Linked DNA regions of Saccharomyces cerevisiae S288C. Changing the gene in region 1 together with any one later gene gives a genetic interaction. Each region holds a gene or a part of one and is shown on either strand. Other genes may lie near its edges.

Region 1 (3,581 bases):
TTGCTAATGGTGAGAGTTCTACTATATTAGCTATATCCGGCGTTGACAGGACAAACAAAACTTTACCCGTGGCATTGGGCAAGATCCCAGTAGACCCCTATGTTACTAGATATCACTATGAACCGAAGTTCGTAGAATTGCTCCAAAAAGGTAATGTCACCGAATTCGAGGTTCCTAAACTGAACAAACAGGAAGTTAACGAACTAATCGATTACTACAAACAATCAAATGTTTTATTAGACAAGGATATCACAGGAAAAAAGTGGGAGAACTTGATTGACGAAAAATATTTCCTAAGTGGTAACGGTAACCCAAGAGAATTATTGAAAAGTTTAGTCCTTTCCCATAGGTGATAAGCATGCGCATATATATACATGTATATGCGTATATAACACTTTCACCCTCGCTTCTCAAAATTCTCCCATTTCTCATGTACATATAAATAGATAACTAACTGAATTAATTTAGCAAAAGCAATTGCTTTTGCTTTTCTATCTTATTCATACACAAAATTCTTACACCGATATATGTCGATACGAACACTTCTTAGCCTAATCCGACCAATCATCCTCGTCTACATATTTTGGCTCCTTATCATTACTTGGGGGCTGTGAATGGACTGGCTTAGAGGTAGATAATGTCGCATTTTGACTTTGAGACGGTAGTGGTCTCCCACTACCACCAGCCATATTTGCTCTTCTCTCGTCCCAGCACCTTTTAATATCACCAACAATTTCCTCGAGGTCCTCCAATGAAACTGAATCGTTGATACTCTCCAAAACTTTCTGGACCACCGATGTATGATTACCATTTAACTTATCATCCCTGAATCTTAACATTTCCCACGCCCCAGTCTCTTGGTTTTTTGCGCACTCTACTATTCTACCATTTAATGGCTGTTCTAGGTTCTTCAAATTTTGCCATTCCTCATCTGAAACGCTCAACTCTGCAAATTTTCTGTATGTTCTTTCTAATATTTCAAATTCCTTCCTATCGAAAGGCTGGTCGAAATGTTTTAAACGTGAATTGACATCAGCTCCGCCTTGCCAGACATATAAGCTGAAAACTGGCTTAACGTCATAATTGTAATACCACCTGTTCCGATCATCTTTAGGCAAAGAAGGATCCTCCACCATTGGGATATCTAAAATCAATTTGAAGTCCACGGTGTTTTCTTGTTCTGGCTTCCATTTTAATAACAATGAATCTTTTCCGCCGGCAGTGTAAGGTGCCTTCACAGGAGTAAATATCAGACCATCAGAAAGATGTGGTAGTTTATCTAAACTTTTAGCAACTTTTACTAATTGGTAACTGAAATCCATATGTTTCATGGAAATTTTGAACGGAAAAGTAGTACAACGATTAGGGTACGCTGCTCTTAAATCGAAGTATGGTTTAAAAAATTCTTTTCCAAGGTGGGCTAGTCTAGAACTTGTTGGTGATTGTGTGAGACATCTACCATTGATAGCAAGACAATCGAACATTAAATAACGCAACTCTTGTAATTTTGTCATTGGGTTAGTTTGTATGACAAGTTCACCATCTAATAAGGTGCCATCTTGAAGAGTCTCTAGCAGCTCTTCTTTCTTCTTTTGGGGTAATCTGGGAAACCTAAATCCATTAACCAGATAATAGTTATTTTCCCTATCAATCATAAAGCATCCTTGCTCACCCGTCACAGGATTTATCACTATAAACATCAACACCCGCAGACCATCTGTTTTCTCACAAACGTAGTAATCATGCGCAAGCAGCTTCTCTTCCACATCAGAATGCTGAAAGGACACAGGCTGGGAACCAGGGAATGTTTTCGTAGGTTTTGGGGAATTCAATAATTTACAGACCATCATCTTCAAGTCTTGCGTGACATTCCCAGGTTGAATGAGCCCAGGAATTTCCGGTGCCACTCTACTTTCCATTGCTAAAACCATATTTGTTAAATTAGCGGTCGATTCGTATTTGCTTATTCCGTTAGTTAGCTTTAGTTTAGATATAACAGATCGTATTCCACCATTTCTTTCGTTATTTTCTGCAATGAACTATTTATTATACTAGGTTACGCTTCGGAGCGACTGACCCGAACATCATGGAGAACTATATATATTTTATGATATTGCTTTCAAAAGGACTAAAAATAAAATGCCATCGAACTATCTGGTGGCAAAATTGGCCTATCGGGACATATTGAGATCATCTGCCTTTCAGCTGGTCACGCTATGCCTAAAGAAGAAGATTTCCAATTACCTAGAAGAAGAGAGGCTGCTAAAAACGTGAATTATAATGAAATGGAAATAGATACTAAATTAGTTCAACAAATACAAATAGCGGAAAAAAGTGGTGCTAAGACCAAGGGTAGCAATAGCCAAACTCCCAGGAATTGTAAAAGGACAAGCAATCCAGCTAGTAGAAACGAGAAATTCAAGTACCAAAAATTCCTTCATGATAAGAATACTTGCTGGAACTTTATCCCTACATTACCCCCTTCGTTCAGAAAGAATAGCAGATTCTCTAACATACTTGATCTAGATGATGCCATGATTGACTTGAAAAAGATGTCTCTTTTCAATACAGAATCTGTCCTTTTATCTGCGAACGACACTATTTATATGATATCAGAGCCTGCTGGCGAGCCTTATTATGTTGGCAGAGTTGTAAATTTTGTTAGTAAACCAGAATTTTCTAACACTATTCATGAAGCTATAAAGACAACATCGGTCTTCCCTGCTAAATTTTTTCAAGTTAGAATGAATTGGTTTTATCGTCCTAGGGATATTCAAGAGCACGTAAATACTTTTAACCCAAGGTTGGTGTATGCATCATTACACCAGGACATATGTCCTATTTCATCATACAGGGGAAAATGTAGTATATTTCATAAAGACGAAGTTTTTGATGTTCTTCCTAATGAGAAGGAATGCATTATACGACCCAATATCTTTTACTTTGATGAACTTTTTGACAGATATACTTTGAAATATTACAAAGTTTACAGCACGGATAAAATATTAAATAAATGGAACAGTAAGTCGCCATTTCTTTATGTTTTGAATAGGAGATTTCGTTATATCTATACAGAACCGAAGTATCCATTGGAGAACGTTTTGAAGAAATACGTTTTCCATGAACTAGAGGTAAACGAATTAAGTCCTGCAGACTACCAATGGGATAAAAGATGTCAGTTCTGTAAAGAATGGTGTATCCAAAAGGAGAGCCTTTCATGTGATGAATGCGGCGTTTGTGCACATCTATACTGTATGGATCCGCCACTTGACAGGAAGCCGAACAAAGACGTCGTTTGGACCTGCTTCAGTTGCTTACAGAAACAACAAGGTACTAAGGACTCGCATGTTAGGTTTCTAGAAGAACAAGCACTGGAACTGGATTTTATTCGCTCTGTAAGACAAAAAATTGAAGAAATTTCTAGCAAAGCTATCAAAGAGAATGTTGGTTATAATACCGAAAATTGCTGGTTTCAATACTTAGGAATATATTCCATTTCTCATATTGGTGACGCATTAAATGATTCTATGTTTTTTCCATATCCTTTCAAACCCTCTAGGGTAGGAGTGAAGTATCAATGG
Region 2 (4,535 bases), on another chromosome or scaffold:
GTTAATGTTTCCTTTAGTCAGTCTGGATACCTTGCATTATTTGCAGGTCTGATTTCTGCTCTACTCTGAGCTGCTCATGTATTTTTTTGAAACATCCATGGACTTGTTTTCGTTTTCAACCGTTTTATTTTTTTGTGTTCTTTTATCTTAACATATGTAAAACAATTTATATGTTTTTAAATAGTAAACTTTTCATCAAAAACGCTTAGGTATCACACCCATCATCCTTCACCAGGACAACCATTGGGTGCAAAAAATAAAATCAAAAAATGTCGAGTATGGATTCAAAAACCGCTAAAGATAAAAGAAAGGAGAATCAGCATAATCTTTTGTTGTTACTTCAGAATATTATACTAGGTGTTACAAATTTACTTTGGTAAAAAAAAAAAAAAAAATTGCAAAAAAACTACTGAAAAATAAACAACTGAGCAGAGAACTAAAGTATGCAAAAAAGAGGTTAAACAGAAAAAAAAGTAAAAGGCAAGGGCAAAATAAAGGTATAAAGGTAATCAATGTCTTTTATGATCGCGGACTTCTTCAAACCATCCGGGGATATCGGAACCACTCCCGTACAACTCTCTATCAGGTACCCGAATCTCTTCCATACCCAAGGTATCCTTGAGCCATGGATGGTTAACCAAGCCACCTGCATCAGCTCTTTTCCTTGGGTCTAGCTGTAACATAGGCGACAAAAAATCAGATATTTCCTTGGCTTCGTCCTTAGAAAACTTATATTTTTCAGTTAAAACATCTTCTAAGGGCCAAAATTTCAATTTCGAGATATTTCTTAAAAGCCCTCTTGAATTGAAGAAAGTTCTTGTATATTTGCCGTTCCTCAAAAGGTATGATGGTAATTCTCCCAATAACTCGATGATTTGTGCAATATGGTCATCATCCTTAGTGTAGGAATGACCTTCGTCCGGTTCGAAAAGAAAATCTCCGGTAATCAATTCAAAAATTAGACAAGCAGTAGACCATATATCTGCACCACAACCCCAAGGGGCGCCTAGTAACACCTCTGGTGATCTGTATTCTCTTGTCTGTATAGAATTCGTGTAATGTTCGTCATACCAACAAGCATTACCTAAATCAGCAATCTTGATCTGAATCAAATTTTCTGGGGAGTTGATATCGGTACTGACGTTTGAATTTGAATCCATAGTATTAGAAATATATGGACCATTTGTATCGGAGCTTTGTGATATATTGGAAATATCAAATGTAGATAAAGAGTCTGCCAGCTGCTCTTCATGCAAAGGTGTGTTCATTATGTCCTCGTTATTATTGTTGTTACTGTTGTTATTGTTGTTATTTTTATTTTTACTATTATCATTATTGTTGTTATCATTACTGTCTTCATTTATGAACATCCTGGTCACAGAATGTGGTACTGAATTTAAGAAACTATTGTTGCTATTCTTAATGCCTATGCCATTATTAATACTGTTATTATTGATGGAAGATGGAATGTTCCTATTCCCAGATACGGAGGAAAAGCTATTGTGACTACTACCACAAAAGTGCGCCCTCATTTCAAAGAAATTTGATGAACTAATTGGGGAAGGTAATGGTTGCGACCCTGTGATAATTGTATGACGTCTAGGTCTTCTAAAGCATCTTTTTGACAAGTCCTTCTCTATAGAACGAGATTTGGAATTTGAGCTTGAGCCGCAGGGCATACTTGTTTGGCATTCTGCCCATTTCTCATCACTGCTATCGTTCGCGGTAATATCAGAAGACCGCGAAACGTGCCTCTGCAACCTTTTTGCCTCTCTCTTCTGTTTATCCAGTGCCTCGACCATTTGAACGATACCCTCAACATCTCCAATCTCCATCAACACGTTTTCTGGTTTAATATCTGTGTGTATAATACCACACCGCCTATGCATGTAATCAAGACCAAGCAGTAACTGCTTCGATATTTGCTTGACATAAATCAATGGAATGCCCCTATGTTCATACTTCTTTATCAAAGCCAGTAAGTTCTCGCCGAGGACTTCAAATACCATAACCACATGGACGCCATTGGGGCCCTTATGGTTGAAATGATCTAGCAATTTCAAAATATGATTAGCCCCCATGGAATCCTCCTTTGTATTATCGGCGTCATTCACTCTTTGCAAAAGCTTAATTTCGTCTTCAGCAGCTTCTGTGTAAACTTTGTCGCCCCGAACAATCTTCATAGCAACGTGAGTGTTGTTTACCATATCCTTTGCCAACCAAACGGTGGAGAAGTGGCCCCATCCCAGCTTTCTTACTAAAATGTAGCGTGCATCCTTATAGGGCTCGCCCTTAAAGGCAGGGTGGTACCCACCCGGCCTGTAATCTTTCAAAGACTCTTCGTTCCTTTCGTCACATGATGAGATAGAGGAATCTGAATCCAAATCTGAGTCTGATTGTGGCCCCGAATCCGATTGGATGGACACATGCGATTCAACGCCGCTATCTGGTTTTTTCTTAATGCTCTTTGTAGAAAAATCTTCTGTCTTCGAGGAAGTATCCTCTTGTACAGTACCGTTGGCACTAGAGGATGACTTGGAAGTCTGCAAGGCCAAAGACAGTTTAGACTTCGTTGGAGCAGGCGCCTTCTTCATCATGTTATAATCCCTTTGAAAGAAATTCTTCTTCGCTTCCTGCGAGCTTGTTGCTTCCTCACATGAAATGCTCGCATCCGTACTAGTGTCAGCCAAATGAGCGCTTTTAGTCACAAACCCAGGATAGTTAATTGATGAACCCATTAATGTCTACACTTCTTCTTTACTCTATCTCTTCAACCTCAAAAGGGGGTGTCTATTTATACCAAAAAACACAATTATTTCTCAGCGCCAGGTGATCTAACAATTTTGAATCAGTTTTCCAATCTCTATTAACTTGCCAGCTACAAATAGATCCCTCTATATCCTGTGACTTCTCTATAGCTCTTTCATAGCCCACACTCATTGTTTATTCTCTTTCAAATAAATAACGACGATAAGATTTAGAAAAATAGAAAAAGAAATTAGAAAAAAATCCGGAAATAATATAGGCTCGTCCGTAACGATTTAATATCACGTGGATAGTGATATAATTATGAGGTGTTGCCAAATAGAACCTTTAATTATGTTTAACAGCGAAAAAACAAGGTTGTCAAGTAGCCGACTCATTTCTTCGTGACGTTGGTGACAGGAATATGCTTTCATCCTCTCGCTCCCCTACAATGGCTTCGGTTCCCGACATTTTGACTCTTTTCATGCCGTCATTTCTTTTTCTTGCTTGCAGGAAATGAAAATTTTTTTTTTCTTTGGCGATGAGCATCGAGAAAAAATATTTCTTTTTTTTATCATTTTTTCAGTTTCATTTTCATTTCACAGTTATAAAACATTAGTTGAGTTATAGTTTCGGTCACGGTAGTCTCTAATTAGCTTGCGTTCGTTGTAGTTTAACTTCCCTGGGTCATTTGGTAGGTAATATCTATATTCTAAAATAAACTAACGACATCAATATTCACAATGGCTGCCGGTGAACAAGTTTCTAACATGTTTGACACTATCTTAGTGTTAGACTTTGGTTCTCAATACTCTCATTTGATTACCAGAAGATTAAGAGAGTTTAACATCTATGCTGAGATGTTGCCATGCACTCAGAAGATCTCTGAGTTGGGCTGGACTCCAAAGGGTGTCATTCTTTCTGGTGGTCCATATTCCGTATACGCTGAAGACGCTCCACACGTAGACCATGCTATCTTTGATTTGAACGTTCCAATCCTGGGTATCTGTTACGGTATGCAAGAATTGGCTTGGATTAATGGTAAACAAGTTGGTCGTGGTGACAAGAGAGAGTACGGTCCTGCCACTTTGAAGGTGATTGACGATTCCAACTCTCTATTCAAAGGTATGAACGACTCTACTGTCTGGATGTCTCACGGTGATAAATTGCACGGCTTGCCAACTGGTTACAAGACCATTGCCACCTCCGATAACTCCCCATACTGTGGTATTGTCCACGAAACTAAGCCAATCTATGGTATTCAATTCCACCCAGAAGTTACACATTCTACCCAAGGTAAGACTCTTTTGAAAAACTTCGCCGTTGATTTGTGTCACGCTAAGCAAAACTGGACTATGGAAAACTTTATCGACACTGAAATAAACAGAATCAGAAAACTGGTCGGTCCAACTGCTGAAGTCATTGGTGCTGTTTCCGGTGGTGTTGATTCTACTGTTGCATCCAAATTGATGACAGAAGCCATCGGTGATAGATTCCATGCCATCTTGGTCGATAACGGTGTTTTGAGATTAAATGAAGCTGCTAACGTTAAAAAGACCCTTGTCGAAGGTTTAGGTATCAACTTGATGGTTGTCGATGCTTCCGAAGAATTTTTAAGTAAATTGAAGGGTGTCACTGACCCAGAAAAGAAGAGAAAGATTATTGGTAACACATTTATCCACGTCTTTGAAAGAGAAGCTGAAAAAATTAAGCCAAAAGATGGTAAGGAGATTCAATTCCTGTTACAAGGTACTCTTTATCCAGATGTCATCGAATCCATTTCTTTCAAA
Region 3 (5,255 bases), on another chromosome or scaffold:
AGGAAGTGTAAGATGTGCTTTCGTGACTTGAGCGAAGGGGTTGGCGTTGTATAGCATGAACTTCCCAATATGTTGCATTCATCCCTGGATGATAACAGACCAAAGACCAAATTTGATTTTAAGTTTAGGAACTTAGAAAAAAAAGGTAGTGCCGTATTCGAAACTTTCGCCGTGGACTGCCTCTCTTTTCAAAAAAGAAGAACAGACCATGCTTTTTCTCCTGGATCTGGAAGAAAAAATACACGAAGCGTATAAATCAAAATAGAGTTCGGTCTATTGGCTTACAAGGATTTCGCTATTTTACAAGAGGACGTATATTCATATATTCATGCTTCAGCATGATTTTCTCTTAACTTAATATGTTCCATTTTTTGTTATAAAATATTACTGTTCGTCGTTTGTAAGAGCAGACACTATTATCTTAAAAGAGCTTTTTTTTAATTGTATGAAGATTTTATAAATTTGCGAAAACCTAAATTTACCATAAAATAAAATGCGCACGAGTAGTTCTAACGCCTATTTGCTCTTGAATTGTCATACCGACTTTGCTTGTTATTCCGAGAGTAGCTGTTGCCGCTGTACTGTCCACTATTTCTATTTCCGGAATAGTTATTGTTCCTGTAATTTGAATTTTGTCTGTAATTATTGTTTCCACCATCATACCTGCTATTGTTGAAGCCGGGTTGACTGTTGTAGCTATTCCTACCATAGTTGTGGGCGGGTTGGACATTATTTCTACTGAGCTCAGCAAAATAAAAGAATGCTCGATAGCCACCAGTTCTTGGTTTGTACTGAGTAATACCCTTTGGTCCTACTGGAACAATATTTTGCTTCAAATCATTACCAAAGTTCCAGCGACGGGAGTAATTTTGGTTATTATACTTGTACATTATGGAATCAAGGTCATATGCTGTTAGTACCGGTTCTGACGGAATGAACCCGTTCAGTATAATAGACTTATTTCTCGATGGCAACGGAATTAATCTATAGGACATCTTTAAAATCAAGGTGGTAGATAAATTTGGCAGTGACCCACCTTGAATCGGACATACAATTTTCCCATTTAATTCGAAACCTTCAACGTCCTTTGATACAATACCACTTAAACCACTCTTGAAGTGTTGAAACTTCACAACAACATTGTTGTTGTTGTTTTCCTTTGAGTATAATTTCTTCGAAAACCTCTCATAATTAGCATTCTTGTTACTTATTAATAAAACAGGTTCTCCGCGAATATTTCTTGCCCTCTCAGCATCAGAAAGTAAAGGATATTGTGCACGAACAGCTGTTAACAGTCTATCCTGATCGATGAATGGTAGCAACGCTATGCCTTGCCAGGACATCTTCTTACCATTCATATCTATGGGAAATTCTTCAGGATAAAAATCAATGATTTCAGAGTCAGGTTCAGACATCAAAGACCGGAAAATTTTTGGCAAAGCATGGCCAGATGCAGCTGGTAAAACACTCATCAATTGTTCGTAAGGTAAAAATGGAGTACCTTCTTCGAACTTTATCTCCAAGTGAGAAAACCCATGGAAATCTGTTGCCAGAGGAGCATAATGGTACGGATAGAACCAATTCCAAGAGGCACAACCTTGATAGTAATACATTAGTACCCAGGCGACCCCTTCGATATAGCATTTTACCATATCTTTTCTTAACTGTTCAATATCTTGAGGAGTAACGTGAAATTTAGCTGTGTAATATCTTTCGTGGTAACCAGGTTCGAATAGTTTGACAAATTCATCTGTATCAAAGACCCCATTTTTGGGACCTTCGCTGACATTCACTGTGCTGTGGACTGGTGAATCTCTTGATACTTCTGTAGTTTCAGAGTTTTCCCTGTCGTTTACGTCAGCCACAATCTCATCTTTGATCTCTGCATCGAGATCGCACTCTGATTCCGCTTTCTCTGTCTTAACTTTTTTGCTATCCTTAGCAATTTCTTCCTCTTCATTATCCTTTTCAAGACGGTGTTTCTTATTTATTATTTTCTGTTTCATAACTTCTGCAAGGTTAAAATTAGTTTTGTTAGCCTTACTAACAGCATCATCAATTTCTTCCTTGCTGATATCTTTCATCAGTTCATTGTTCTTATCACTCTGTTGCTTAACTTTGGCGATTGCTTCTTCGTTCCCCTCGTTCGCAAGCATCAGTTCCTTTTTCAACCTTACCATATCACTGGTGGTCAAGTTCCATGAACCTTTTGCTAAATTTCCTTGTGTGTCATACATTTGCAGTTGCTCCGTAGCTACTGTAGGATGCCTGTCTTGACCTTTTGACATATTTTTCTGCGCTTTCCTTCTTTCAAAAGCTTCTTTCTTTCTGGCTTCTTGAATATGTCTAGTTTTGAAGATATCCCCCTCACGGGAGCCAAGGTGTTGCAATAGCGTTTCAACAGAAGGGAGGTTCAAGACACCGTCGCAGGTCATGTACGTTTTCAATTTCGGTAGTACTACCTTCCAAATATCCAAGAGAATATCAATACTATTTTCTCTGACATCTAAGCATGGTAAATGTGGTAAAAAGTCATTACCACAGAAAAAGCACATGAAAACCCAATCGTCGATAGCCCTTTCTAAATCAAATGTAAATGGAAGACCCGGAACCCATAACTCAGCGGACAAGTATTCCCTCAAAACATTTATGTGCAGCCACAAGAAAGGTTGTTCGGAATTTTGTTTTTGGAGAAATTGTTTTTCTTCTTCAGTCATATTTATAGTATCTTTTAAGTTATTTCTTTTCCGATTGTCTTGAGCAAAAACATCTTCTCTTAGAATTTTAAAATGTGGTTCATGAGTGGCAAGGCCCAAAAAAATTAAATCAGCATCCAAACCGTATATACAGTGCGTTGTGTTGGGATTATATTCAGGATCAGCTCTTTGAGACCTAATGAAATTCATTATTTTGTGCTCACCTTCACCTGGGACGGTGGCGTCACTGATAATCACCTGCAGGTTTTTCCAACCAGGGTCAGTGGCCAGTTTAAATGCTGTCCAATAACGGAGGGCCGCGGCAAGCTTATCCATAAATGGGGTGCCTGGAGTGATCGCATTTGAATCCCAAGTTTTCTTGTTCCTGACGGCATCATCGATTATCTCACCAACTTCTTCTCGCTGTCTCATAATTTCTTCCCTGGCTTCGTTTTCAATCTGAGCATCCCTAGCACTCCTAAATCTACGCGCTCTCTGCTGGTTCATTTTGGCACGAGGAGCAACACCATCAACAGCCATAACAAGTACCTTGCGTGGTCTAGCCATATTTAACACACGATTGGTATATTCAAAAACTGCCAAAAGCATTTCATCTTCAGTCTCTGGAGGCGGTTTGTTTTCTGGGTGCGAACATGGATGAACAATACCATTCATATCCAAATACAAGTTGTCTAACTCACCGTTTGGATTTGAGGCGGAATAATCCAACGGCAATATGACACCGTCGACTATCTGAGGTTGCTCTTCCAATACTGGGGATATGATCTTTGGATATTTTCGAGATAGCCATCTGAAAAATGACGGAACACCCATTATATTACGAAACTTGGCTGTAGCACTTCCTTGAAGAACCTGTCTCACTAATTATTACGGGATGTCTTTATGTTGTAATAGGTTCATCGATGAGGTTTGGTTTTTTATTGCCATAGCTGAAAATCTTATCTAGATACTCTCGTTACCCGACTTATCATTCCCGAGACGCTCAAATATACAACCTGATGAGAAAGTAAGGTAATATACCTCCAAATGTTCAAGATTATAAAATACATTGCAGTGCCTTAAAAACGTACTTCCGATATTATGTGATAGTAAACTTTTCGTAGTTTTTCATCAGAGATGGGGAAAGCTTTTTTGGTGAATTGATTTTACAACTACTTGTTTCAGTATACTATAAAAATCGAGTAAAATTCGTGAATCTTTGAATAGAAAAGATTTCGTGAACATATCTATAAATTAATCACTTTCTTAACCGATATAAGATTTTAGCCCGGTGATATAGGCTTCAATCAGCAGTTACGCTTTTTTGCTTTAATTTTACTGTTTATGGAGGTAAACTAACGCTCCTGCTCTCTTTCATATATCAACAGATAGGTCTGTTGATTGATTCAAATAAATTTATTTTCCTTATGTGCGCCATAATTATATGACCCTATAAGCTGCCGATAGCGGATTTTCTGTTCTCTATGGGAAACTCTGTAGTTTTCTTTTTTTTAGTTTAGTTCGTTCCCAAAAATGGAAGAACGTCAAAACAGTGATCTACATTAAGCTGAGGCGAAAACACTAAACGAGGAAAGTTATACGATGGCACAGGAACAAAATAGAAAGTATGTATGACGTTGAAGGCTGATTAAAGCATTGAAAGGGGAAAAATACTTGTGAACTAAAAAATGTACATATTACGATGTCGAAATATAAGGAAGTAAAAATGCTGTCCGGTTCTTTTGAATAGGAGAAAAAATAAACAGAACATAGTCGGGAACTTCGAGAAAAAAAGTAAGAATTGAAAAATGCATATGAACGATCAGATTGACATTCAAATTCTACGTATCACTAAAGTTTAGCCTTCTTTTTAGAGGAAAACAAGTTAGCTATTTTGGACATGAATTGTTTGAAGGTGCTAATCGGGTATTTCATGCTTGCTTGGAATTCCTCCTTTTCAATATCAAATTGTTTTGAATCCGAAGTATCTAAGATATCTTCAACATCGTCAGTATGTGGTAAAGTTTCAGGATCAACATGGCCCGGTGTGATTGGAATCGAGGTGCTTCTACCTTTAAACGCAAATCCAGGGTGGAAGATGGTCAAAGTGACCGTAGCGATGGCCATCATTAATGCATCTAAGATAATAAAATACCACTCGTGTGTGATCAGATAGCCATCCCAACCGACAACTAATTCAGCCAAACGGTAACAACAACGGGTAAAAATGGTTAGTACCGCAACGGTTATTGCCAGATTAAAATAATGAAAAACCCAACGTTTAGGTTCGAGTCTCAAAAAATGGAACTTTTCCCTGTATAAATAATCAACTTCTGTTTGCGATATCTTTAAGAGGCTCAATGAGATAGGTCTAGAATTTATGTGTTCCCATCTTACCGATATATATATACGGAAAAGGAAGTGAAACCATAACATAAGAAAGATGGCCATCGATGCAACTTGAATGGCCAAACCAGCAATGAAAACATGATTGCCGGTTGTTGTGGACGTTCCATCTGTGACCGCCACACCACACAGGCCACCGCCTACAGCTTGCAC

Evidence for each region. Genes that interact genetically often act in the same process or in processes that back each other up.
Region 2: mutations in CEG1 (region 1) and SKY1 together harm fitness more than expected from each alone (negative genetic interaction), as found in Saccharomyces cerevisiae (2 studies listed by BioGRID).
Region 3: mutations in CEG1 (region 1) and RAT1 impair growth when combined (synthetic growth defect), as found in Saccharomyces cerevisiae (2 studies listed by BioGRID, with this or other methods).

Annotation. Positions count from the first base shown.
Region 1 is NC_001139.9:264,495-268,075, reverse strand, and holds CEG1 (mRNA guanylyltransferase), read right to left. Parts: upstream 1,932-3,581; coding exon 552-1,931; downstream 1-551. Other genes in the region: mitochondrial 37S ribosomal protein mS29 RSM23, read left to right, coding at 1-353; DNA-binding E3 ubiquitin-protein ligase SNT2, read left to right, coding at 2,217-3,581. UniProt on the Saccharomyces cerevisiae protein: Second step of mRNA capping. Transfer of the GMP moiety of GTP to the 5'-diphosphate terminus of RNA via a covalent enzyme-GMP reaction intermediate.
Region 2 is NC_001145.3:698,302-702,836, forward strand, and holds SKY1 (serine/threonine protein kinase SKY1), read right to left. Parts: upstream 2,739-4,535; coding exon 510-2,738; downstream 1-509. Other genes in the region: GAS3 (putative 1,3-beta-glucanosyltransferase), read left to right, coding at 1-69; GUA1 (GMP synthase (glutamine-hydrolyzing)), read left to right, coding at 3,489-4,535. UniProt on the Saccharomyces cerevisiae protein: Constitutively active kinase, specifically and sequentially phosphorylates serine/arginine (SR)-type shuttling mRNA binding proteins in their RS dipeptide repeats.
Region 3 is NC_001147.6:418,121-423,375, forward strand, and holds RAT1 (ssRNA exonuclease RAT1), read right to left. Parts: upstream 3,531-5,255; coding exon 510-3,530; downstream 1-509. Other genes in the region: phospholipid-translocating ATPase RSB1, read right to left, coding at 4,548-5,255. UniProt on the Saccharomyces cerevisiae protein: Possesses 5'->3' exoribonuclease activity. Required for the processing of nuclear mRNA, rRNA and small nucleolar RNA (snoRNA) precursors.